Linked DNA regions of Lepisosteus oculatus. The protein of the gene in region 1 purifies or fractionates together with the protein of each later gene. This does not show direct contact. Links are inferred from orthologs where the notes say so. Each region holds a gene or a part of one and is shown on either strand. Other genes may lie near its edges.

Region 1 (8,017 bases):
TATTCTGAAAAGGTAATGCCGTATTTTAAGAACTTTCAAAATATTTTTTCTGAAGGCTTTTTGGTGAAACGTTTTTATTAATAGATTTTCTTCTAGGATTGCTTTAAAAGGTAGCGTTAAAACAGAGCAATCAGCAGGAAGTTATTACAGGCTTCATAATTTTTTAATGTCGACTGATCTACGTTATATGAACACATTGAAAGGATTTTCAATGGGTCTAAAACGCATAAATACAAACTACAATATCGGATGCTTTAAAACCTACGTGCTGTAAGAACTGTTATACTGGGTCAAACGAGATTTCTTTGTGGATCTGGTCGTTTTCAATCAAACACGAAGACTTACCTGGACCAAGAGAAGGATTACTCCCAGCTGTAAACTCCTGACACTCCCCATCAGTTTGAAAGGTTGTATAGAATCCCTTATTTGCAGCCCAAATCTGTTGATTATAAATCCTTAAGAGTCTTTCAACCTTGTGGAAAGGTGTGCTTCCTTCAAAACAGAGGCTGCAACTGCGAAACTCTCGGTCCTAGGTAGTTTCGAACATGCAGTGACGTGTACAGGTGACCTCGCCCATCCCTTCCTTAACGTCTCCGGGCTCCAATTATGGGCATAGCTCCTTTAATCACCACCTGCCAACAGGTAGAGGGTGTAAATCTCCGGGTCCTAATGCTAATAAAGTTCTCAAACAGTGAATTCCCCCTCTTACAAACGAGGATACACCCATACATTTATGTCACCATTTTTATTTCTGGGAAACAACGGATTAAACGCATTTCCTGATTTTAATCTTAATTTTATTTCCCAGTATTAATTCAAAAGACCCATTGCCAGAAATGAAAAGACAATATATATTGAAACACCGCTTTTCGAAATGCCAGAATATAGAGGCATATACAGTATTTGCGTGTAAAAGAGCATTGTGCAAATTGACAAAAAACACTATAAATCAAACTCAAGTTTTATTTTTATGTAGATTTCAGGATATCTTTTCACATCGTCTAGATAACGAAAAATACTACAATGATTTCCCTGATTCCCTCTTTATATGGTCCTATTTGTGACGGTACAAATTAACTAATTCTTAATGGAAATAAATGAATTGTCACCTAAAAACTGGTTAAACGAAGTAACCACATGTAAGTTCTTATTTTAACAAAGTACTTTAAAGACAGCTGTAGTCAAAAAGTATGTATTACAAGGCAGAGATCAAAAGGTTCTCATAATCTTTTACTCTGTGACATTGAAACCCTCCCACTTTACTACATAAAGTAGCTAAGACCATTTAAAAAGATTAATTTAATTCTATAAATATTTAATTACATACTTCAAAAGCCAAATTTAAGCCAAAGACTCTATCATCCCTTCATTGGTTTAAGTACTTCCATCCATCCAATGAAGGATTCTCTAGGTAAAACAGCAGTTTTGAAATTCATCACACAAACTGAGAATCCTCTGAGGCTGTGAAATACAGTCTATATACTTAGGTAACACATTCATGAAACTATCGAAGGAGAAAACAAACCCACTGACAACATCAAGGAAGAAAAAAAACTCTCCTCATGGATGTCTTTCATTTACTTCTTTATTCAATTAAGGAAGCACTTATAATAATGCATAAAGCACTTCCAGTTGTACATTTTCTCAAATGCTTGTATGAACAAACTGATCTCTTTCTAATCTCATTTGTAATAGTGTACAATGATTAAATGGCCTCTAAAGTGCCAGATTTTCTCTTCCAGTTTCACTCATTGGAAAACAGAACTAATTTCTTAGATTTTATACCATTTTGGAACCCCTAAATATTGCTATCAACAAGCTGATCCTCGGTAAACTAACATAACAGAAAGTTCCAGGTTTAATAAAATATACTTTAATGAATAAACCTAAATCTGCATTGCTCAATGACTGAAATAAGAACGCTGAAGTCACTGAAAGGGACACTACCTGTTTGTGTGTATTTTAAGATATGAAGACAAAATTTATATCAGGATAACACTCCTCATATTGACATTCTTCCCTTACATTAAGAAAATCATAGTTTGCTTGGTCAGTTTCAAATCTTCACCACTTTCTGTTAGAGAACGAAATGTAAATGTCTGTTGAAGTTATTCATTAACAGGCTGGACCTACCAATGTTAATATTGTACTACCAGCCAGATGGCAATAAAACATTCTCTGAAGTAGTCCCTTTGGCATTCTTTTATAGAGTTGTTCACAAATACAACATTTTTTGTTAATATAACTGAACATTTAAAAAATTGATTTATTGGTGGCTCATCAGAAACATGGACAACTAACGTAGTTATTCAATCAATACATCTATTAGAATTACTGCATTATAAAGGAACCTATACAAATTATACTACTTAATACCAACAACATACAACCTAAATATAGAACCTAATGCAGTGCTGAACAGATGTTTTTAATCACTTGGTCATGATACTTCATGTGCTAGGTCATATATAAAGAGCAGTTGTTAGAGGACAGGATCATTTCTGCAATAAATACATAAAGGAAATACATCAAGCAACATTTTGCAATTGTCAAACCAAGAGACATTACAAAAAAAATACAAAATGTTTCTTGCTTTCCTGCCATTTCAGAAGCCATTTCATCATCACATACAGTTAGTATGAAGCAATCCTCTGAAGCTACCCTTGGACACCTAGGATGGAAGTAAACACACCCATCCATGTTTACTTCCTCTCAGGTTCTAAAGAAATACAGATTCAAAATGCTGTCCTAAGGCCAGGCAACATGAGCCTTACATATTATTCCTACCCATCTTTTTTACTTTAGTAGCAAGAGTAAGATGTTGTTTCACACCCTTAAAATGTCTATTGTTGTGAATGATATGAAGCCTGTCAAAATTGCAAAGAAATAAGTTCATTAATAAAAAATAAGAAATTATTTACCTTTTCTCAAAACTGGTGAAACAAAGTTTTCTGAAGGCGCTCTTGGCTTACTTGCATAGACTGTACACATGAAGAGAGCATATGTATACTGACTTCATTCTGCACACAGTACACTGAATAGCACTATTCAGCTTCTCTTCCTGGTGGCAGACCCTCGAGATCCTAGAGCCTGCCCCATTCAGAATTGGAAAAACCTAGATTGTTGTCCATAACTAGAAAACTGTTTTTCACTGACTTGGTGCTAATTAACATTTAGAGTAATATGATACAGGTATTGAGCATTCTCTAAAGTATTACAATGAATAATTAACACAATACAAATGCAGCGTATTCTATATTTACTTTACGGATGTAAAGTATATGACGGAATATGAGTTACCCTTTTAGTGTTCCATTGTAAAAAGGACAGGTTTTTTGCAGGATCTAAAAATATATGGTTATTTCAGGTGTTTCGTGTATTTCACTTTGTTAGTGTTTTAAAAGTGAAATAAAACAATTTACCCTTTTGTAAGTGAAGCACATATTTCATCAAGATTTTCAAAAGGAATGTTTAAGGAATACCTTAAACATCTTGTTTTATGTGGTTCTTTTATACAAAACAAAATAAAAGGTCAATATTAAGGTGAGGAAAAGACAAAATAAGAGTCATGTCAGCACAGACAAGCGGAGATGCAGGCATTGTTGCAGTACTTAAACTAGGCATCAGTTTTAGCACAACTTTAATATGCATTTAACAGATATACTGTATACATCTTCAAGCTTTGAACATGCTTCAACGTAGCAGCACTGTATACTATCATAGTGAAAAAATGAAAAACATATGCCACAGTAAAGCAATAACAATTATAATTAGAATGTAATTCTTCCATGTACAGTACCACAAGCCAAATTTTGTTTTCAATTAATATCTATAAAGCCATAAAGCTCAGACAAATGAAAGGCATACAGCCTCTGGGTATAGACGTTTGATATTCAGTTTTAATAAAAAAAAAACCTAAATAGATTAGATTTAAAAACATTTTTCTGCCTATATGTTATTCTCCTCATGAAGTTCTCCTAATTGTCATAAAATACAACGCATCAAGTTTTTATTTCATTTTTAATGTAACATGAAATTCAAATTAGACCAAGTGAGTTGACCTTTTGTTTCTTGTTTCTCAAATACAAAAAACGCCTTTCTTTCCAACATAAACTGCCAGACATACCCTGCCACATGACATTGTATTTTAGGTCTTCCTTCTGTATGCATGTTTTGTAAGAGATTGTGAAAATCAAGGTGCACTTCATGCACAAATGAAAGCTTTAAACTTAATGAAGTTGTAACATCATTATTTTTAAAAAGCTAAGTAACATTTTTTATGATTAATTGGGTTTCAGTTGTTATTTTAAATGTGTATTATATTTAATCATACATGTTTGAATAAGGCCCAAACATTATAAAAATGTAATAAAGCAAAAAAGAACATTAAACAGAAAACATTGTCTGCCACAATAAGGTCTTCAAATACTTGCAGGAAAAGCTGGAAAGAAAAAGACGTATATTTAGTATTTACTCAACGTTCCCAGAGACTCCATGGAGATCCATTATTAAAACCCCTATAATGCAGCAGAAATACCTATGTATGAACATTTCTTCATAGTGATTGAAACCTTTTCATTATGGCTGGTTTCCATTATTTGTGATACCTAACAGTACTCTCATCACTTTCTTTTTGCAGTATAAGTAACTCTAAAATACATTGTTTTGACCAGAGCTTGAAATACAGGATAATAACCACTGTACAGTAATTCACCACAAACATACAATATTATGTGATATATTGCATTTCAGATTACACTTAACTCACGCCAAACCGAGAAAAAAAAAATCACTATGGTGGTTTGGGTTTACCCATGGAAATTCAAAGTAATCCATCCATTGATCTTCTAATAATTTGTTCCAGTTCAGGGCAGCTGGAGCCTAACCCAGCAAGCAACAGGCACAAGGCAGGGTACATGCTGGGCAGGACACCAGTCCATCTCAGGCAGACACAAACAGGCACCACACACTCTCAACAGGGGCAGTTTTCTCAGAAGCCATTTAACCTACCAGTATGTCTTTGGACTGTGGGAAGAAACCAGAGCACAATATATCAGATGAAATCCAGGCACAGATAGGGAGAACATACAGTACAAAAGTCACGCAGATATAACCCCTGATCAAGAACTGAACCCAGTGCTACAGGACAATAATTCTAACCACTGTGCTATAGTGCTGTCAATTCAAAACAATATATTTTTTTAATTTCTTCACCACTCAGTTCAGATTAATATTTGATAGTAAAGTCAAACGTCTTTCATCAAAGGAAAACTGGGGAGGTTTGGATCCTAGATATTTAGAAAAAAGATATTCTTGTCATTTTTCAACTGTGCTGTTTATCAAGGAATCCCATTTTGCTTCAAACAAGAGCAAACTCGCAGTTTTGAGCAATACATCTCAAAAACATATCTTAATATATCAAAAATATTTTTATTTTTGTTAATTATTAATGATTTTTAGATCTATTGACCCTTTATTACCACCCCCTATTTTCTTCCACAAATCAATCCACATTAATTTTAATGGTAAAAGCTCATCCCATGAGAATCAGATTAGTTTTGACTTTTTAAATGCAGTACAGTTTACCGTCAGGGAAGCATACTGAGAATGTTAAAAGGCAGCCACTGTTAGAAAAGACAGGTGACTTTGTGAAGACAAAAATATGAATCACAAGGTCGTATCAGGCTTGTTTTAGAAAGATGTTTGCAATGATTCAACAGAGATGATGTTTTTATAAACACAAAATTATAAAATTAAAGTTAGGAGTATACATATCTTACCTTATGTAACCTTTAGTTTAATAAAACCTTTCTAACAAATGTTTATCGGGGAGCATGCACAGTATTTTGGATTTCATGTAGCAGATGTTCACCTAACTGTCAGTATAACCTGTTTTTTTTAAAAACAAATTGTGAAGCATTTGAAACATAAACATGAATAAATAAACACAGCCAAAATGGCTGACAAGTTCCCTTTCATACTAGGTGTGGTTTTGAACTTCAGTCCCTAAAAAAGAAAAAATATATATGTTTAAGCACATGCTGTAAAACCTGTTATCACCTGTCGCAGTCAGTGGTTGAAATAATATTGGGTTTCACAACAATGATATAATCATTAGTGTTAGTTTCAGTTTTTCATAGGAGTGCCAGATGTTAGTCTTAAAAGGTGTATTATTAAATTTAAAGAATGTACTAACATCTCAAAGTTTATGGAATATTAAACCTCTGCTGATGTTGAGGTCTTGTGAAGTGAAACTCCCATCGGGTTAAACAGTGGGTATGATTATCCATTACATACTCTGGAATAAAAAAATGCAAACCAAAGCAGAGGAAGTAATTTTGCCCTCCTAGCTTGTTTCACTTTTAGTAGCTAATTAATCTGGCTTGATCTTATCCAGCCATTTCTTGAAATAAGCAATGTTGGGTAGAATGTTCTAGACAACCACAACCATTCATGCTGCCTTATGAAGACTTTTTTTGATAGTTGAACACTGTTAATTATCAGAAGCGGGGAAAAAGTAATTAAGGTTATTTTTCATAATCTAGAGCATGATCTGTCATTGGATGATTGTACAGTAAATCAATACTGTATTTATTCCCAAAATGGCATCTCTAGCTGCTCATTCTGTATTACTCCTGCAATGTAAAAATACAAAGAATAAAAAAAATCTAAATGGTATGCTTCAGTTTCCTTAACATGCAGTATCAGAATGTGGTTTTGTATTTATAGTGGCTGTGATTCAGAGGCAGCACATTGTGGATAGACCCTGTGGCCTTTAAATGCATCTACAGAGGAGGTTGATCACAAGGTCTTAGTGTGATGGGTCAATGACACAATCCAGGGTGTAACCAGGATTTTTTTTTTCATTTAGGAAGAAAATGTTTATTTTAACCACTTTTGTACCTCTGAATCTAACCTCTTAAACGCAGTATTTTCAACGTGCATTATAATTCATATACTAAGAATATTAGTAAATGGCTAAGGGCACTCTTAAGAAGCAAAATCTTCTCCGGAATTCAAAATCTTGGGTCTCAGTAACTTTGCTCAGTATAAAACCAAGCCCCAAGAAGGAATGCAGAAACTACAAAGAAAAAAGTGTAGTGTCTTGGTTCCATACCCCTTAGGCATGCAGTCCATACAAGATGAGGGAGTGGAGTGCTCCCCCACCTCCCAACAAAGGCCAGATGAAATGCTAATTTCTCCAGCTACCTAATAAAGACAAAGAGGTTTTCAAACACCAGACTACACCCTGTCCCGCCAAAAGAAATTCAATCTTCTAGCGCGGTGTAATGTCACCACAACACAGTTAATGTCACAACACAGTGATTAAGCACCCATCATTTAGAAAAATAAAAATCTACACCTAACTGGATAATTATGTATATACAATAACTTTTAGGGCATCGGAATATATCACAAATGCATACGTCAATCCTATAAAACGTTTCCAGTCCCAAACACCTCTAACTTTAAAATAACAGAAGGATCAATTTTGTCTTACCAGCGCACACATTTTGTATTATCACAAAATAAACGTATATACAGTATATATACTGAAAAAAATATATAGGGTACAGTCCTGACTACAATAATGTCGTACGCTTTCAAAGCTGATATGACATCCGCCGGTTTAAACCGAGACAGCTGGACAGCTGCGAAATTAATAATTCATCGGAAAGTGTAAACACATTTAAATTTAACGAGCGCAGTTTGTTCCTCTCTGTAAACCGGAGTTAACACAAACCTGGCTTGCTAACCGAGCAACAAGACAGACTAACGGCCTGCGTGCGGAGACGACCCTCCTCCATTTAAAAAATCAGGTTCAACCGCCTCACAGCGGCACCATACTGTACGACGCAGAGCGTTTACTGAAACGGATATACGCGCTATTGTCAGTGTTGTGTTAAGACTACCAATAGTTTTGGTACTGCTGCTGCTCTCACAATACCCTTGCACAAAAGTAAGTGCCTGCGTCATACTGTATATTGATACGACAGGGGACATGCAGGGTGCTGGG
Region 2 (7,813 bases), on another chromosome or scaffold:
TCCCTCAGTACCAACACCAGAGCCAGCACTGTTTGGAAGAGTAACACAACGGACAGTAACATCACTGCAAACTCACAGGTGCACCATCATCAAACCAATGGTGCACCATCATTTTAGCAAGCCCTGTGAATGGAACAGTCACTTACTAATGGCATAACCCAGTCATTCCTAGACTATGGGGAAACATGGAGTTAAAACAAACAAACAGCATTACTTTCAATAAAGTCAGACGTACCAGCATGTCTTTGTCAGACTATCAGGGCAAAGACCTGTTTTGCAGAACAAAGACATACCACATTAATGCACTACAACCCAGGATTGCAGGGAAGCCAGTACCTATCCCAGCGAACAATGGGTGCAACACAAGCTACACCCTAGACAGCATGCCAGTCCATCGCAGGGCACACAGACACAGGGCCAATCTTCCCAGAAGCCAATGAAGCTACCTGTCTGCTGTTGGACTGTGGGAGGAAACTGGAGCACCCAGAAGAAAACCACGTGAACAGAGGGAGAACATAGACGCTGATCGTACCCAGGTCAGAAATTGAGCCCAGAGCAATGCTACCCCCTGCATTACTGTGCCACCCAATACACTACCAAACAAATTCAAATAACCTGAACAAGCCATTGAACCACAAATATTCATTCTGCCAATTAAAACGTGCTTCTACAGTAGCTTAAAACTTGGTACTGTTCCAGATGAACTGTACTGTTAACACTGCTAATGGACTCGAACAATGCTGAAGACGAGAAATTGTTTCTGGTGTATGGCACTTCACAGCTGTCTCATTCGGATCCAGCACTTGTTTCAAATGACCCACAACAAATATTTACCTCTGTAAAAATTCATCAGCCCCCAGAGAAGAACAAACACAGAAAAACATCCTCTGTTTATTTGTGGATTTTTCTACGGTGCCTGTTCTGTATGAAGAACAAATAAAAGTATTCACTTCACTCGGGTAAATCCGATTTCTCATTTTATAACAGCTAAGGAAAAAAAAGACATTTTTAGCAATATGTGGAATAAAAAAATGCAGCGTCATTTGCACTGTTACAATTGTCAGCAACGGTATAATGAAAACATCTCAAAGGAAAACAGAGCTACAGAAGCAAGGAGTAGTTTTTTTTTTACTGTACATCATGGGCACAGTGTCTGTCGACAGCTTGCATCTCACATCACATAAATTCCCTCAGTGTGTAATTAATTCAAAACTTTCTAGTCGGCTTCACTTTTCTGTTAACTGTATTATTCCCTGCAATGAAAACTAAGTGCTCAGAGCCGGGTGCTATTTTTATACCCAAATGTCCTGTATATCAGAAAGCTTTTTTCCCCCAAGAATGAAATATGTGTCGCAACAGGTTAGTGTTTGCTAATGAAATTAAAATATCTATGGGTCCCGAGTTCACTCAATCCAGACAGTATCTTGCGCAATAGTGCATACTAATTATTTAGTCAGTATTCATAATATTCATAATAATTGCACTGCATTCCTCCGTTTCAGATAGCCAGGAAATCGTCATGATAGCACGAATCAAGGACTTCTTAAACTACATTTCTGCAGTTCCATACACACTTGTTTTTGTGTCCCAACTAAAGGCGTTGTTGAACTTCACATCAGGGTTAAACGGAATGGCTATAGGCAAATAAACATTGTCTAACAGTTGACAACGCATTCATTTATTTTACTAAATATACAAATAATAACTAGTTAGAAAAAGTCACAAACGCTTTTTTAATAAGCTGTACCTAGCTGTTTGTTAGTATTCATGTTTATAAATACTTGCGCCGAGCTGCTACATTGTTGTTTTCATACGCTATACTCGGAAGTTTTTTAAATGTATTACCTCAGAGCAGGCAAATGTAACTTTCTGCCGCGTAACCAACATCAAATGTATCCAACGTTTTAACAGCATTTGTATCCGACACAGGGAACTGTCCAGTCTATTCTAACTCCCCTGCACAATTTTATACAGAAAGAACTCCCCAATGAAGACGACTGTACTGCACAATGCCACCACAGCCCAAACTACAAACTTGATACGGGAACTAGTTGCGTTGGTATGGGTGAGCAAAGGAGTGATAAATCTAGACTTTGAACCACAGTTCACCCCTTGTGTTTAACACGGCCGACAAGCAAACTTGCGCTTTCTCCTTATAGCCCTTCATGATCACGCACTTGAATTGCGGTCGCAAAGTACAAGACAATACTATTCCACAAACTACAGAAAGTGAAAGTCAGATATAACCAGGAGGACCCCCCCATCTTTAACTCTCATTCATTACGCTAACACCTTCTAGGTAACTGATTTGAAGCCTGAGCTGTAACTTGAAAACATCTTGAATGCAACAGGTTGCAAAAACATATGCAGTCGCTAATCGAACAGGGGCTTCACAGCTCTGATTAGCGACTGCATAAAATTGAAATTCCCAAAACTTGCGCAAGATGAGAAAGTACACTCACTTTATAAAATAACTGGCCCCTTCTTCTGTAAACCCTTCTTCCCATCCTCGCGGGAGATCTGGAGATAGAAAAGACCCAAAACATAAAATTGCTTTTACGCGTCGGCGAACTTTTGTTTCTTTTGGTTTCGAAAAGGTACGTTCTGGAATTCTATCACTCTTGGGAAAAGCCCAATCCTGATTTTAAAAAAAGCCAGGTTTCTGACTTTTAACACAACATACCTGATCGTATCATATGCCCCGAATTGACAGGTTCACCAGTTCGAGGATGAAGCCAAGTCGTGCTTCGAGTTTCATCACTGTAGGGGAAAGAAAAAACAAAACACCTGTTACGGAACAAAGAAGTCCAAGAGCAACTGTCCAAAGCAATCTGTGCAGCGACTCCTCGTATAGCTTCCAGGCAGAAGAAAAGTGCACGCTTACTTAATGAAAAACACCCTTCCGTCTTTGCAAACTCCATAAGACCAGTGTTCAGGTAAAGTATCCCGCCCGAGCGGAGCCGCCATGATCTTGGTTTGAAGTACTATTTCATTCTCTTCTCCGTGGAGTCTCCAGGGAATCCGAGACTCATTAATCACCACTAGGGCCGCTGCGCTCTTAAAGGGGCAGGTCTGGCTTTTTATGGTTGCGGAGAGTAGCAAGTCTTTGCAATCTTATTTTCCCAGCCGACAGAAAATAACTTGTTGGAAAACCGCATTCGGTTCTGGTGGATGGCGCGGCGCACAAAGCCAGTTACTGCCACCACGAATTGTAATTAGGGAATTAATGTCGCAATTGAACAGTCGGAACGTATGCTAAGGGATTTAGCGTTAATACCGCTAAAAATCTCTGAATTGTAAACATATCGCTGTCAAAAGTCCTAAAGCAACAAGGGCATTAAGTGGGGGGAGTTCTGCAAAATGTACGGTATTTAACTGGGGCACTAAATGTGAGGTTCAGATCACAATATACAGACAGAAGGATATTTCAGTAGTTGCGTGTCACTGCTGATCCAATAAGCGGCTTTATGCAGGCGAAAATATAGATAAATGCAATTCATTACAGGTCCAAGCCTCTCTTTTTTCCGAATTGAAAGAGGAAGTATTTGTATAGTTGAATTTACTATTTCAGGTTACCAAATGCAAATTACACACCAAAGCTATCGAAAGCTAGTTTCTCTGCAAACATCTTTGACACACAAACGGCCAACCTGGGTGAAAAAAGTCATCACCTACTTTACATACCTTTCCAATTATTAGGAATAGAAAGAGTGTAGTTAAACAGTAAACCGCTCAACGAATTCAACAAACACCTCTGAAGAACGTTATGGGAATTATATCCTGGTTTCTTTTAAATGCACCTGAAGGTATACCTTTGAATTTTATGTCCTTTGTCCTTTGTGTTGCTAAAAGTGTTATAAAGCAAAGTTCCTTTCAGTTAGAGACTGCAGTCAGTATCAACAAAGGAAAAAAACATCACTGTCAAGCTATTTTGATTTTTCCCTTATTGCGTGATTATACTCGGGGTTCAATCAGATATACAGTAGGTAACACAAGAAAGGACACTCGTTTCTTTGATTTCAAAAACCTAGAGACATAAAACAGCATTTGAAGAATTCATGACTGAGATACTGTATATATATATATGGTAAAAGGACATCAAAAAGGCTGGATGTAGAACAAGCCAAGAGGAAAACACTGTAAACTCTTTAAAGTTAAAGATGTGTGTCACTGACAGGAAAGATGAATGACATTGTATGACCCTGAAAAAGTTCAAGGACACGATCAAATTAGGTGAACGGCAAGGTTATGTTTCTGGTTTAAGTTATATGAAAAACAATTCTTGGAGAAATAATTCTTCTTCCAAACTCAAACTGGTATTTTTGTCACTTTATGACCAGTTAAAGTTGAAAAATGTTTGCAACAGAGTATCCTAAGGGTCCTGTAAACAGAGATTTCTACGCCATAGTTTTAGACATGAACCCCAGTTGTATTATACTCCTTAAAGTAACATTCATTAGGGGTTTATTTTGTGAAAAACATCATCTCCTTGACAGCTTAAATAGATCTATTTTTTAAAGTACTTCCAAAACACACAGTCAGGCAGAAGCAACGATGTAATACCATTCTTTCTATGATCTCATTTGCGTTTCACTTTGATGTTTCCCTTGGGAAAAGTAATGCATTTGGGTGCGTATCTCTTTTTATACTTACGCTGTTTTATTATTGCTGCAGATAAAGAGTCATTTTTAAAGCACTAACATAAGCCGCCTTGATTTCTCAGAATAGCTCACATCGATATATGGCACCAGTCCTATTTATAGAGCTACAGCTCATCTAGCATGGTGTGTGGGGTGGAGACACGAGGCAGTGAAATACAGATAAGTTTGGGAAATATTTGATGCTGTCTTCCCATTCATCTCTAGGACAAAACGAAAATACTGTACTGGAAAGAAGGAGAGATTTATTCAGAAACCCTGATGTGTATACAACTGTGCTGGTGTGAACATGATGGTTTAGTTCAGGCAGGTGCTGCTCATCACAGTGTGTTCTCTGAATCACACTGGTGTAACTATATATGGAGGAAAGTGTGGAGAGCAGCTCAGCATCTCACCTGCAAGGAACAGGCAGAGCAGAGTTGTCCAATCCTGGTTCAGGATAGCCACAATCCAGCAGATTGTATGAGTCTGCCTTAAAGCAAAAATAATTAAACTCTGGTGAAGTTGTGCACTCTTTACTCCATGTACTTACATTTTTATCGAATCAACATTCTGACATCAGGGATGCCTTTATCATTTGATATCATATCCTGACGATCAATCCATGCTTGATTCATTACTGATACCTGATCACCCTTAAATCACCAATTTCTAAAACACTTTAAACAATTTTGTTTGGACATCTTAAGCAGGTGCGTACAATTCGATAGTTTAGAAAAACTGAAAAGCTGCCAACACTCCTTAGCTCTCGAAGATCACAGCTGGACACTCATACCTTAAGTTCCATTCATTCATTTTCTGAACCACTTTATCCAGAACAGGGTCTCAGGGTAGTAAGAGGCTAGCCTGGCAAGCAATAGGCGCAATGGGCACCCTGGATAGGAGGCTAGTCTATCGCACGGCACACACAGACACACACACTCACTTCAGGGCCAATTTTACAGAAGCAATACACTTTTATTTCCCTGGACTTGCTGCTAGTCATCAAATAGCCAGAGAATATAAGATAAGAGTGGCAATCTTCATTTTGTGATAGCTAGAATGCTTGCAGTTTCCTGTTTTCTAGCTTGACCTTACTGCAGATATAGAAATCTCAGATGGGCACTTTCTGATCTTTTGTCTGCCCAAAGAAGGGCAGAGCAAGGTTGTCAAAAACAGGAAACCCAGAAGCAAATGGCAAAATGTTACTGGCTACCTCCTTTAATTCTAAAAAAACCCAGCCATTTACAGTCTGCCACTGACATAAGGTTGAGCTTATAAAGGGCAGTTAGTAATCATTCCATAAATACCACCAAAAGGCTATTATCCATCAAAACAATTAGAGACCTGTGAAAAAGTGGATTGTAATACACAGATTTTCCTAGCACACAGTTTTCTCAGATTCAGAAAATGCACTAGTGTTTATCAATGCATTCTATCCCTGAGAGAGGTCATTTTCTGCCTTCATTTGTGAATGGTAAGAGACATATGTCATTAACATATTAAATTAATTTACCTCATTAATTTAGGATAAGACATGCCCAGATAATGTTGTAACCAAAGCTGCCTCATTCACGAGGACTATAGCCAAGTATCTTCACAATATCACTTGGGACAGAGATTTCTTGGGACCTCAATGCCAGCTGTTTTTGTTCCAGATGAGCTCTCTGAATTATTTCTTCACAACAGCATGATGTTGGCTAAGCAGCATTGGCTCATTATGTCTAGAATCAAAATCCTGTGGGATAGCAGTTTAAATTTCACCCAGCTACTGTGTAAGCTCCTCAGAAAGAGAAGGTGATGTGCTGCCTGCACACACACAGACGAGAAAATGACTGTCAATGTCTGAATCAAATTCACAGATGACATGCTGATACCCAAGTCTAGCCTATAACCAACCAATCTGATTAATAATAAACCTGTGCTGAACACTTTAATCTGGGTCTTTGTTGGAGTGGAAGAGACTACATTAAAAAAAATCAAGCATAACATAAAACGCAATAATGGTCCAAACTGTTATGTGTCAATAAAGCAGCCCTGTATTGCTGTGGATAATGAAATAGATTTGGAAAATTATGGATTAGGCATGAACAGGCATGTGGAAACTGTGTCCATATTATTAACCATGACCTTCAATATTGTTTGTTTTCTGCAATCCCAAAGGACAGTAAAGGTTTTCAGCCATGATCTGCTATACAGTACATTGCAATAATCTTTACCCTGCATCATGGTTAACTGCCCAGTTTTCTGATGCTATCCTGTAATTTTAGCCAGACAGGGGGTACAGTGCTGTGTATCTCATGTCACTGCACTTTTCATAATTGAGGTTAAAGGAATGATTTTACTGGCAGATAAAGTGTACCTGCTTGTCCCTCTTCTTTCCTTCAAGTCACAGTTAATGTACTTTTGTAATAGGATTGCCATTTACCTCTTTATGGCCTTATGCCTTTCACATTCTTTATAACTCAAATTTCTTTTCCCTGCATTATTGTAGTGCTTATCTTGGTTTAATTATATTATAAAATTCAGTGCAGTATTTCTGAAAAATCACGCAATTAACTACAATGACAGATCATTGGGTCACTCTCAGTGTAATGAATATTCTAGTGGATATATGATATCCAAAAACTTCTTCTTCTAAGAGAAAAAAAAACAATTCAGTGAAAATCTTTGTTCATGGATAGGAGCTAAAAATATATGGATGGGCTTAATTTTAGTATAAGTAAATAACAACTATTTTTTGAAAAGTGCAGAAAACAGCTCTATAATAAGGCCTATACCATCAAACATCAGAGTGAGTAAAAAATATATCCCACTAAAAATCTCCAAGTAAAATAGTAAAGAGTGACAGATATTTCTGTCTGGTTTGGACAGCAACGGTTTTTTTTGGCAATGCACGGCTGCAAATGAATTGCGGTGACTTTTGATTTAATTAGCAGCTCTCTATTAAGCAAAGATTTGAGGGTTCATTTAAAACGTAGTCATTTCCATTTAAGGATTTTTATATTCTGTCCCTTATCAAAGTGTCACAGTAAGTGTGGAGATATATGGTCATGGATCATTGTGGTCAGTCATTTATTTATTTGAAGACCAATAATTAATCTGGCTGCTTTGTTTTTAACTCATTCTAAGGCGAAAATTTACTTTTTGAATCACAGAGACCAAAACTGTACATG
Region 3 (7,940 bases), on another chromosome or scaffold:
TTGGAAGGAAAGCCTTCGAGAGTAAACCTGATGCTTCAGTCAGTGCCATGTTAATGGACTCACAAAGATTCATCCTCCAGGTGACATCACAGAACTAAAAAAAATGTAAAGTCCAGACCACACCCATAGCTGCTCATCTGTGCAGAGCTCATCCTGGTTGCTGTAGTGATAAGCAAACTAGACAGTGCGTTACTGGTCTCCAATTCTGCAACTGGGTGGACAGGAACAACTGTGGTACCTGGCTTGTACCTCACTTAATGGTAAACAGCAATACCTGTCATAACCTGTTATAAGTTCGATAGTTTACCCATTTCACTATAAAACACCCATCATAGAAGGAATGAGATCAACAAGCCCCAATACTTCTATTTAATCTAGTAAGAGTAAGAGCCTGACCAAGGATTCTGTAAAATTTTGAATCTGCTGTGATTAGGATTCTATTAAAAATCTAAAGCCTGGTCTTGTAAAATCTAAATGAAGTCCTGTTATTGTTTAGTTAAATTAGAATTAGATTTTTAGTTCAGGAAGTTTATATATATCTTGTTATGAAACTGTTCAAATTTCTTTAATTAGCAAACAAAAAACAAAAAAAAAGATCATGGTTGCAATCTGACATAAATAATTTTATGTGGTCTGAATGGAATAAACTAGTTAACCGATGCTTGATCTACCACACATAAAATCTGAAAAGCTTAGTAGCCTGCATTCTCCATTTAACATCTTCAGCCTGTGACAATATTTTTAATAAAGAACAGATCAAAGAATAAGAGCGAGTAGGATTGCCTTCATAACTTGTAATGATCTTTATTTTTAAAAATACCTTTCATGACACAACATTACAAGGTATTTTACATTAACACAAAACAACCGTAAACCTCTAGCAGTTTATAAAAAGCATGCTTCTTAGCCTACATATCAGGGTTTTCAAGAAGATATGAAAACTGTTCAAACATCATGTGTTATTAAGCAAGAGACATAAGGAGGATTTCATTCACAAATACAGGTATTATGCATTTGAGACCACAGAAAATACTAAGCTACTAGACTACAGGAACATATGCATCCTGATTGCAGAAAAGTACTCCTGTGATTTTTTTCAAATATGATACTCCCTGATATAGACATCTGCACTATTAATCAGTTCACTAATTTTACAAAGCAATTGCACGCAGCTTTCATTATACAGATGTATGAAATACTGCACTGATGAGACTCGAATCTGCCTTTGATGACACAGTGAATTTCAAAGCGGCTTGTAAATGGCTTTCAGTATTTGTCAGCTGGGTGTGGTGCTTCCATTGAGACCATTTGAGATTCAGAAGCCCAGAGCCCATTAAACACAGACAGAACACCTTCAGACAAAACTAAAAGAATCCATTGGAGTGTGCTTTTATATAATATCGATTTTGTATTTCAGATGAAATTTAAAGCAATCCTAGTGGAATTTTCAACTCCATACTGTTCTATTCATTCAATTTACTTGGGTGGAATAATATTCCCTTTTCCATTATACAACCCAAAGCCCCTTTTAAAAACTAGGATACAACCTATTTACATTAAATAAATTCACATTTTACAGTGCTCATGCACTCTCATTACACACCCATGTAATTGTGAAGTTTGTCCTCATTAAACCCCTATCCTGAATGCATCGAATAGCTGTTTTTACAGGGGGTATCAAGTTTCAGTTCCTCATTAATCAGAATGAGATAGTGAGAAACAGTTCATTGTAACTTAGTTGACTCAAGCCATGCAGAGGGAACTGATTTTAAAGCAAAATGAAACTGAATGGTACTATAATCAGTTATTGTAAAATTATATACATTGCTTATAATTTTCTTTATAAGCAATGTAGACTTCTTAGCGTTTACATCATACAGTAGCTCTTTATTTAAAATAGGCCTTTTTTATACCCAGCAAATTATTATATATTTTACATTAAACAAATGCTGGATTGAGATAACAACGATGTTTTTCAAAATAAACCATTTTCATTCAAATAGGAGGTTATTGCTTCAGTCCGAATTGTCTAAATCCAGTGCAAAAGCAAAGTGATTGTTGTGTTTTACCTGTTCCCACATCATTATGTCTGAGCTATTAATACACTCTTTCATCCACAGATGTCGAAGTTAGATTTTGTCATGCCACTGTTTTGCCTTCAGTCCTTAATTGGTATTACGACCTATGGCTTCTGGCTTTTTAAATTTATTTATGTAAATTTATTTGTAGAAATGGAGCAGACAATTAAATGTGACAATAATTTCAACCTGAGAAAAAGATGCCCGTGCGTAATTAAATTGTTAAAGCTGTCAACCTTCTCCAGCACAGATAAACATGACATGAGAAATGACCATATTACATAGTAAAAGGAGCAAATGTTTGAAGAAGGAAAAAACACAGATACAGTGATTAATTTTTATGTAGAGCCATCTCCTTCTAACATATCATTTCTACCAAGCCTCTTATGTGTGTGCTCTATATCTATTTGTTTTTTATTTTTATGTTAGCTCCTAAAAATCCTTATACTGTCTATAACTGCCCTAACTCCATAAAATTCTAAATAAACACTTAGGTTCGGTAGAACACTTCAATAAATTTTTATATTAGAATTTGTCGGCTTTAATGACTGATTCTTTATATACTTGCTACTTGCTATACATGAACTGCCTGCAACATTTTAAAATCAGTTTTACAGCAGATAATACGCTTGGAATAGAACGGTTTTAGAATATGGTGGAATAAAATTAAGAAAAGGCAGAATAATATGTTGCCGACTTGAAGTTGGTATAAAAAAGACAACTACACTAGATAAATCAAGCAACCAAGGCAGCAAGATTGTAGATCTCTTTCAAAGATACAGCCACAACCTCACTTATACTCTATTTTGTCTAGTTAGACTGTACTATTCACTTGTTTCACTAATTTACTACAAAAATAAGTACTGTAGTACAATAAGCTGAGAAAGTCTTCCAGCTTCTGAACGTCTCAAAAGCTTTCTGGTTGTGTACTATAAGCATCTGTGACAAAGACACGGTTTTTCTCATGCAAAAAGGTCATGACTTGTATAAACATGCTTTCGGTGCCGAAACAGACATGAAATTATTCTTTCATAAGAATGGAGGCCTGTGAAGCAAAATAATGCATAAAATCAAAACCAACTGAGTTCCGTCAGTATCACAGGGAACCAACACTGTACTGTAAATGAACAATCTTGACAGGTTTCAAAATAGAGGTTTCTTGAAAGAGATAATTGGTAATTTCCTTTGGACCAGACACCTTCAAAAGCTACTGCAGGCTGTAAGAAAGGAGGACTTGTGTAGTTTCAACCCTCTTACTGACGTGTGTATAAAGTATTTGGGCTATTTAAAGAATAATGCCTCCCCGCAATGGTAAAAAAAGAAACATAAACTGATTGGATAAAGAAACAGCTCATAATTGGTGATCCCTTTAGATACAAAAAAGCTTCAATTAAACATAGTTCTCGCCATGAAAATGCAAGAACTATGAACACGGAACAAAGATGTCATTTGTCCTCTTTAAGCCTCCTTTGATGTAAGACAGGAAAGAAAAGAACTTGAATCATTTATGCCCTATTGCCAGATCTACAGTGCTTCTCAGGTACTCTCCTTCTGTTCTCATAAACGCACTCTCTGTAAGAGGCTAGAGGCTCTGTGTGATGTAACTCTGTCTTCCCACTGCAGTGACTCATGAACACCTGCCTTATCATACAGTGTTGCTTCATGGGAAGACAGTTACCCATATGCTTGATTCCTCCTCCTCCAGTTTCCCCTGATTGTTGAGTTCCAACTTTGATTTATTAACTGTTTCCTCCCGTTAAGTGTTTTATTTTAGTTTCTCAAAAAAATAAAATCCAACCTTTGTGAATCAGATTGTTATTAGCAGAACGAACTACTGCAAAGTTTTTATTTCTCTCAGATGTTCTTAGTCTTAGCGTCTTCATTCACTTAAGCATTGAGAGTCTCTCCTCCCGTGCCTCAGGTCATCAGACTACTGAGAATATCCAGCAGTTTGCCGAAATAGATATCTTGTTTTCTGCCTTAGGGAAACTGCATTTCAGTAGTTACAGAGATAGCTTTTATTTGCTGACATAAGAATGCCTGAGGATCTAGTACTGATAAAAAGTGCAGTGTAATTGTAAAGCTCAGGAATTCATCTAATATATTTACATGCAACGTTTTGGGTGGAGGGTGATTGTGTATGGAGGGAGTGGTGAAGCAGATTGAGTTCTCTCAGAGCTCATTTATCTTATCGGTGTGGCAGGGAGAAACGTATTTGCAAAATAAGGAATAGCATTGAGTATTAAACTGTTATTCAGCTCATTTTGGCTTCAGGATGTAATTATGCACACGTTTTATAAAACATGAGAAATGTATCTCATACGAGCACTTTTAATCCTTGTAGGTATTTAAATATGAATTTTGGCGGTTTCTTTCTAAAGGCTCTTAGCACTCAGTAATACAATCACAAATCATTTCAATGAAGATAATCAAAGCACATAAATGACGTAACATCACACACAATTCAGACGTTTAGCCGAAACTGACCCTAAACTGCTTAGTCCTCCTACACGATTAAGTTTTAAGTGCATTAAAAGCGTCGTGTTCAACAAGCCTATGTAAGTCTCGGTGGTTTATTGTCGTCTACGGGAATCACGAGTTGTGAACCTCCGACATCACAATAAAAAACCGAGAAGGCCTCGGGATTTAAACCACACACGCCTGACAGTCGAGTGCACGGCTGTTTGGAAGCACGGAAGGTAAAAAAAAACCAAACAAAAAAAAAAAGAAACAGAACATGCTCACTCCCGCAGACAAACTGCACCCAGCGTTCAAAAACAGTAAAACAAACAAAACACGTCTTGCAAACTCCAGGCAGCGAGCCGCGACTTGCAGACACCTGGGACGGAGAGAAGACGTCATCGCGGGAGCCCGCAGGTAAGCGCGGAGCTCGGCCACTCCCCCGGCACACCTGACCGCCTGGGTGTGGGCGCCTCGCTGTCGGTCACCGAGTCACTGCCTGTGTGTTCGCCATTCCGGGAAGGAGTTAGCACCCCCCCCCGCCCCCTACGTGGAAAAGGCCAAAAAAAAAACCTTGGATAAAGTTCGAGAAGGTAGGGCTTGTTTTTTTTCTTTACGTTTTATCCCGAATATAAGAAACGACGTAGGCGAAGGTGCGAGTTAGCTGACTTTTCGGAAGTTTATTTTCTTCTGGGGAGGGTGATTCAGGGATTCAGCAGCAGCAGCAGCGTAGGAGTGGCGTGTAACAGCCGCGCTGATCCCATTTCCTCTCGGAGTTGGGAAGTTTGGTGGAGCGGAGGAGCACGGGCGAACGGGAGGGATAAAACGACGGAGTAAAAAAAAAAAAAACTTTTCACGAAAACTTCAAAACTGAACTTTTTTTGTTCATTAGGGTTTCGTTCCAGGGGGGAAAAAAAAATCGCAACATCGGAAGCGGCGTGTGTTTCAAGGTACGCATGAATCGTGTTTTGAACAATTGTAGCTAGAAAAGAGCAACACAATCGTTTGTTTTGAAAACAACGCGATAGGCAGGGTTCATCCATTTTGACTGTTTTAACTTGGGAGGGTTCACCGTTTTATTCGAGCTTTCCTCTAAGCGTTGTGTGCTTAAAAACCTTTCCCATTAAGCACCGTTGTATCTTTTCCGACAGTAATTCGAAATGTGAGCATAAGAAGTCTATTTTAGAAGCACGATTGACTTAATTGTTTATGGGGAAGAATGGCTTCTCCATTTCATTTCAGGGCTGCCCTGCCTAAAAGTAATGAAGTTTCAGAAGGGAAACTAAATTAGTGTTTTTTTAAAAGTCACGTTTTACGTGTGTTCAGATCACGTCCTGTAAGTTTTAGTATTCATTTTAAGTTTAGGGGAATGCTGGTAGTTCTTACTTTTTGACCCCCAAAAAAACATGCTAAGCACAGACTTAACCACAGCATGAGTTTTAAAAAAGTTACTCAACAGGGTTGAAACACGCTCTGCCTCCGACTTGTTTCTTTTTTTTATCCTGCGGCTTTTTAAAAATAAAAGCGAAGCAATGAATTTGTACAAATTTCCCATTTTTTTTAAAGGACCAGCGTGTGAATCGCATGAACTTTCGTGCGTCTTTTTAAAGTAGGTCCGCCCTACCATCAGACTATGTAATGATGTTCCCTTAGCTTATGTGTTATTTTTTTTTAAAGTTTTGAGCTGGTTACTGTACGAACGTCGGTTCTGTTTCGAGCCTGCACCCCAGGGCGATTGAAAGTTAAATTAACATGGCCCAGGATACTCCCATGCTGGTCGGGTCCGTGTTCCGCCCTTCATAATCTGGGAATGATCCACCCTTTTTACTGATTTCATCAGGAATGTGCCAAGCCGCTACCACCTGTGTTGTTGTCTTTTTTTGTACTTCTGTTGTCTCTTGAATGTTGAGACGAACCAAACCAGATACGCCACATCTCCCAGAAAATAAAATATACGTATATTTTCGTGGTGGGGGTAGGGTTGGGCTGGGCACTCATTAGGCAAGAACTTCCGGTTGTCCCAAGCGCGTAGTAATGCTGGGTTTCCCGTTTCCCGATATACCGTGTCCTTTAATTTCAGTATCGTCCTCCGTTGCCCAGTGTTTGCTCTGTGGGTGCTGCGATATCAGGCCAGCCTCGGTGGTCAGGGGTGGTTTTTAAGTCGGACCCTCTACTGATGGTGAATTTGAGTGTCCCCGGTGTAATCACTTCTAGCAAGGCTGCAAACGTAGTTACGGTTTTAAAAATAAAAGTAACTCGGAACAAAATACTGACAGTCCTCCGTGCTGCTTCTGTATCAAATTTAGCGATTGGAAATAAGACTGAAAAAGTTTTACATACTTCCTAGGCAAGTAGGCGTTAGGGTATTTAACAATCTTTACGAGACTTTCAGTAAATAAAGGAGTGATGGACTGTATACCGACTCCACCTGTCTAGTATTTTTCCTGTGTGTAATGCGAAGTCTGGCTTTATTACAATAGAAACATCTAACATTTGGTTACATTTTCGACTAAATGTCTTTTAATTAGTTCAATTTGCAATCATAGCTCCTGTTTATTAACACTTGTCACTGCTAATCGGGTTTTGAAAGCGTGGGATTTATCTGGATAAAACGTGGCTATTGTGAATGCTCATCAATTCTTAGAAAGTTATTTATATTAAAGTTGCTGCCCTCTCGCTTGTTTCTAAATTGAATTCTGAACAATAACTTGAAAAACATTTATAAAATAATAAAGACTATTGTAAGACATGGCTAAAAACGTACACCTGACTAAGCTTTTGTCAAGTTCAAAGGAAATTTCTGATAAATTGGAGTACTTCTCCACAATAGAGTTTGCAGACTTAAGTCTTCAAATCAAATGTCTGGGGAAGGTTGGAGGCTGTTACAAATGTTGCAGAAAAGTGTGTCCTGGTTCATCCCGTTACAATAATAAACCATTTTTAAGACAACAGAAACTTATGGAAATACCTGGGCCAATATTCAAACTTGACCCAAACCTAGCTACCTAAAATGAATTTCAGATGGCTCTGACCCGATGTGGTATTTTGTAAGAAGGGTCTGGTTTGCCCATAACTGTCCACAACCGATTAGTAGGTTTGAAATTGAAAGGGGGTGGGAGGGTCCAATTTGTGATTTAAGGCAAGCCTTGGTTTTTTACACTGCTCCTAAATTGACCTGTTTCACTGCACTGTGTAGCCTACCTGTATTTAAGATGTGGAAGCTCTGTATCAGGAATATCTTTGCTTGACTTTTGTGTAGCGGGTTAATTTGCTCCCTGTGTGTGTTCAAAAACGGAATAAATGAAGTTCCATTTTTATGTTGTAATCCGTTTAGAAATTAAGAGGTGGGAATGTTCAATTTCTGAATTTATCCTAAGTAATAAATCAGGGTGGCATTTTTTT

The links. The genes of interacting proteins can lie anywhere in the genome.
Region 2: the proteins of cdh31 (region 1) and plekha7b purify together in Homo sapiens (co-immunoprecipitation; 3 studies listed by BioGRID and IntAct, with this or other methods). This does not show direct contact. The link is inferred for Lepisosteus oculatus from reciprocal best matches to the Homo sapiens genes CDH1 and PLEKHA7.
Region 3: the proteins of cdh31 (region 1) and ctnna1 purify together in Homo sapiens (affinity purification with western blotting; 10 studies listed by BioGRID and IntAct, with this or other methods). This does not show direct contact. The link is inferred for Lepisosteus oculatus from reciprocal best matches to the Homo sapiens genes CDH1 and CTNNA1.

The regions. Positions count from the first base shown.
Region 1 is NC_090715.1:9,220,888-9,228,904, reverse strand, and holds the start of cdh31 (B-cadherin), read right to left. Parts: upstream 3,012-8,017; 5' UTR 2,922-3,011; intron 633-2,921; 5' UTR 397-632; coding exon 346-396; intron 1-345.
Region 2 is NC_090716.1:10,984,955-10,992,767, forward strand, and holds the start of plekha7b (pleckstrin homology domain-containing family A member 7), read right to left. Parts: upstream 3,006-7,813; 5' UTR 2,968-3,005; coding exon 2,885-2,967; intron 2,761-2,884; coding exon 2,684-2,760; intron 2,521-2,683; coding exon 2,463-2,520; intron 1,943-2,462; exon of another isoform or gene 1,846-1,942; intron 1-1,845. UniProt on the Homo sapiens protein: Required for zonula adherens biogenesis and maintenance. Acts via its interaction with CAMSAP3, which anchors microtubules at their minus-ends to zonula adherens, leading to the recruitment of KIFC3 kinesin to the junctional site.
Region 3 is NC_090706.1:36,611,338-36,619,277, forward strand, and holds the start of ctnna1 (catenin alpha-1), read left to right. Parts: upstream 1-4,935; 5' UTR 4,936-4,955; intron 4,956-5,025; exon of another isoform or gene 5,026-5,131; intron 5,132-5,430; exon of another isoform or gene 5,431-5,488; intron 5,489-7,940. UniProt on the Homo sapiens protein: Associates with the cytoplasmic domain of a variety of cadherins. The association of catenins to cadherins produces a complex which is linked to the actin filament network, and which seems to be of primary importance for cadherins cell-adhesion properties.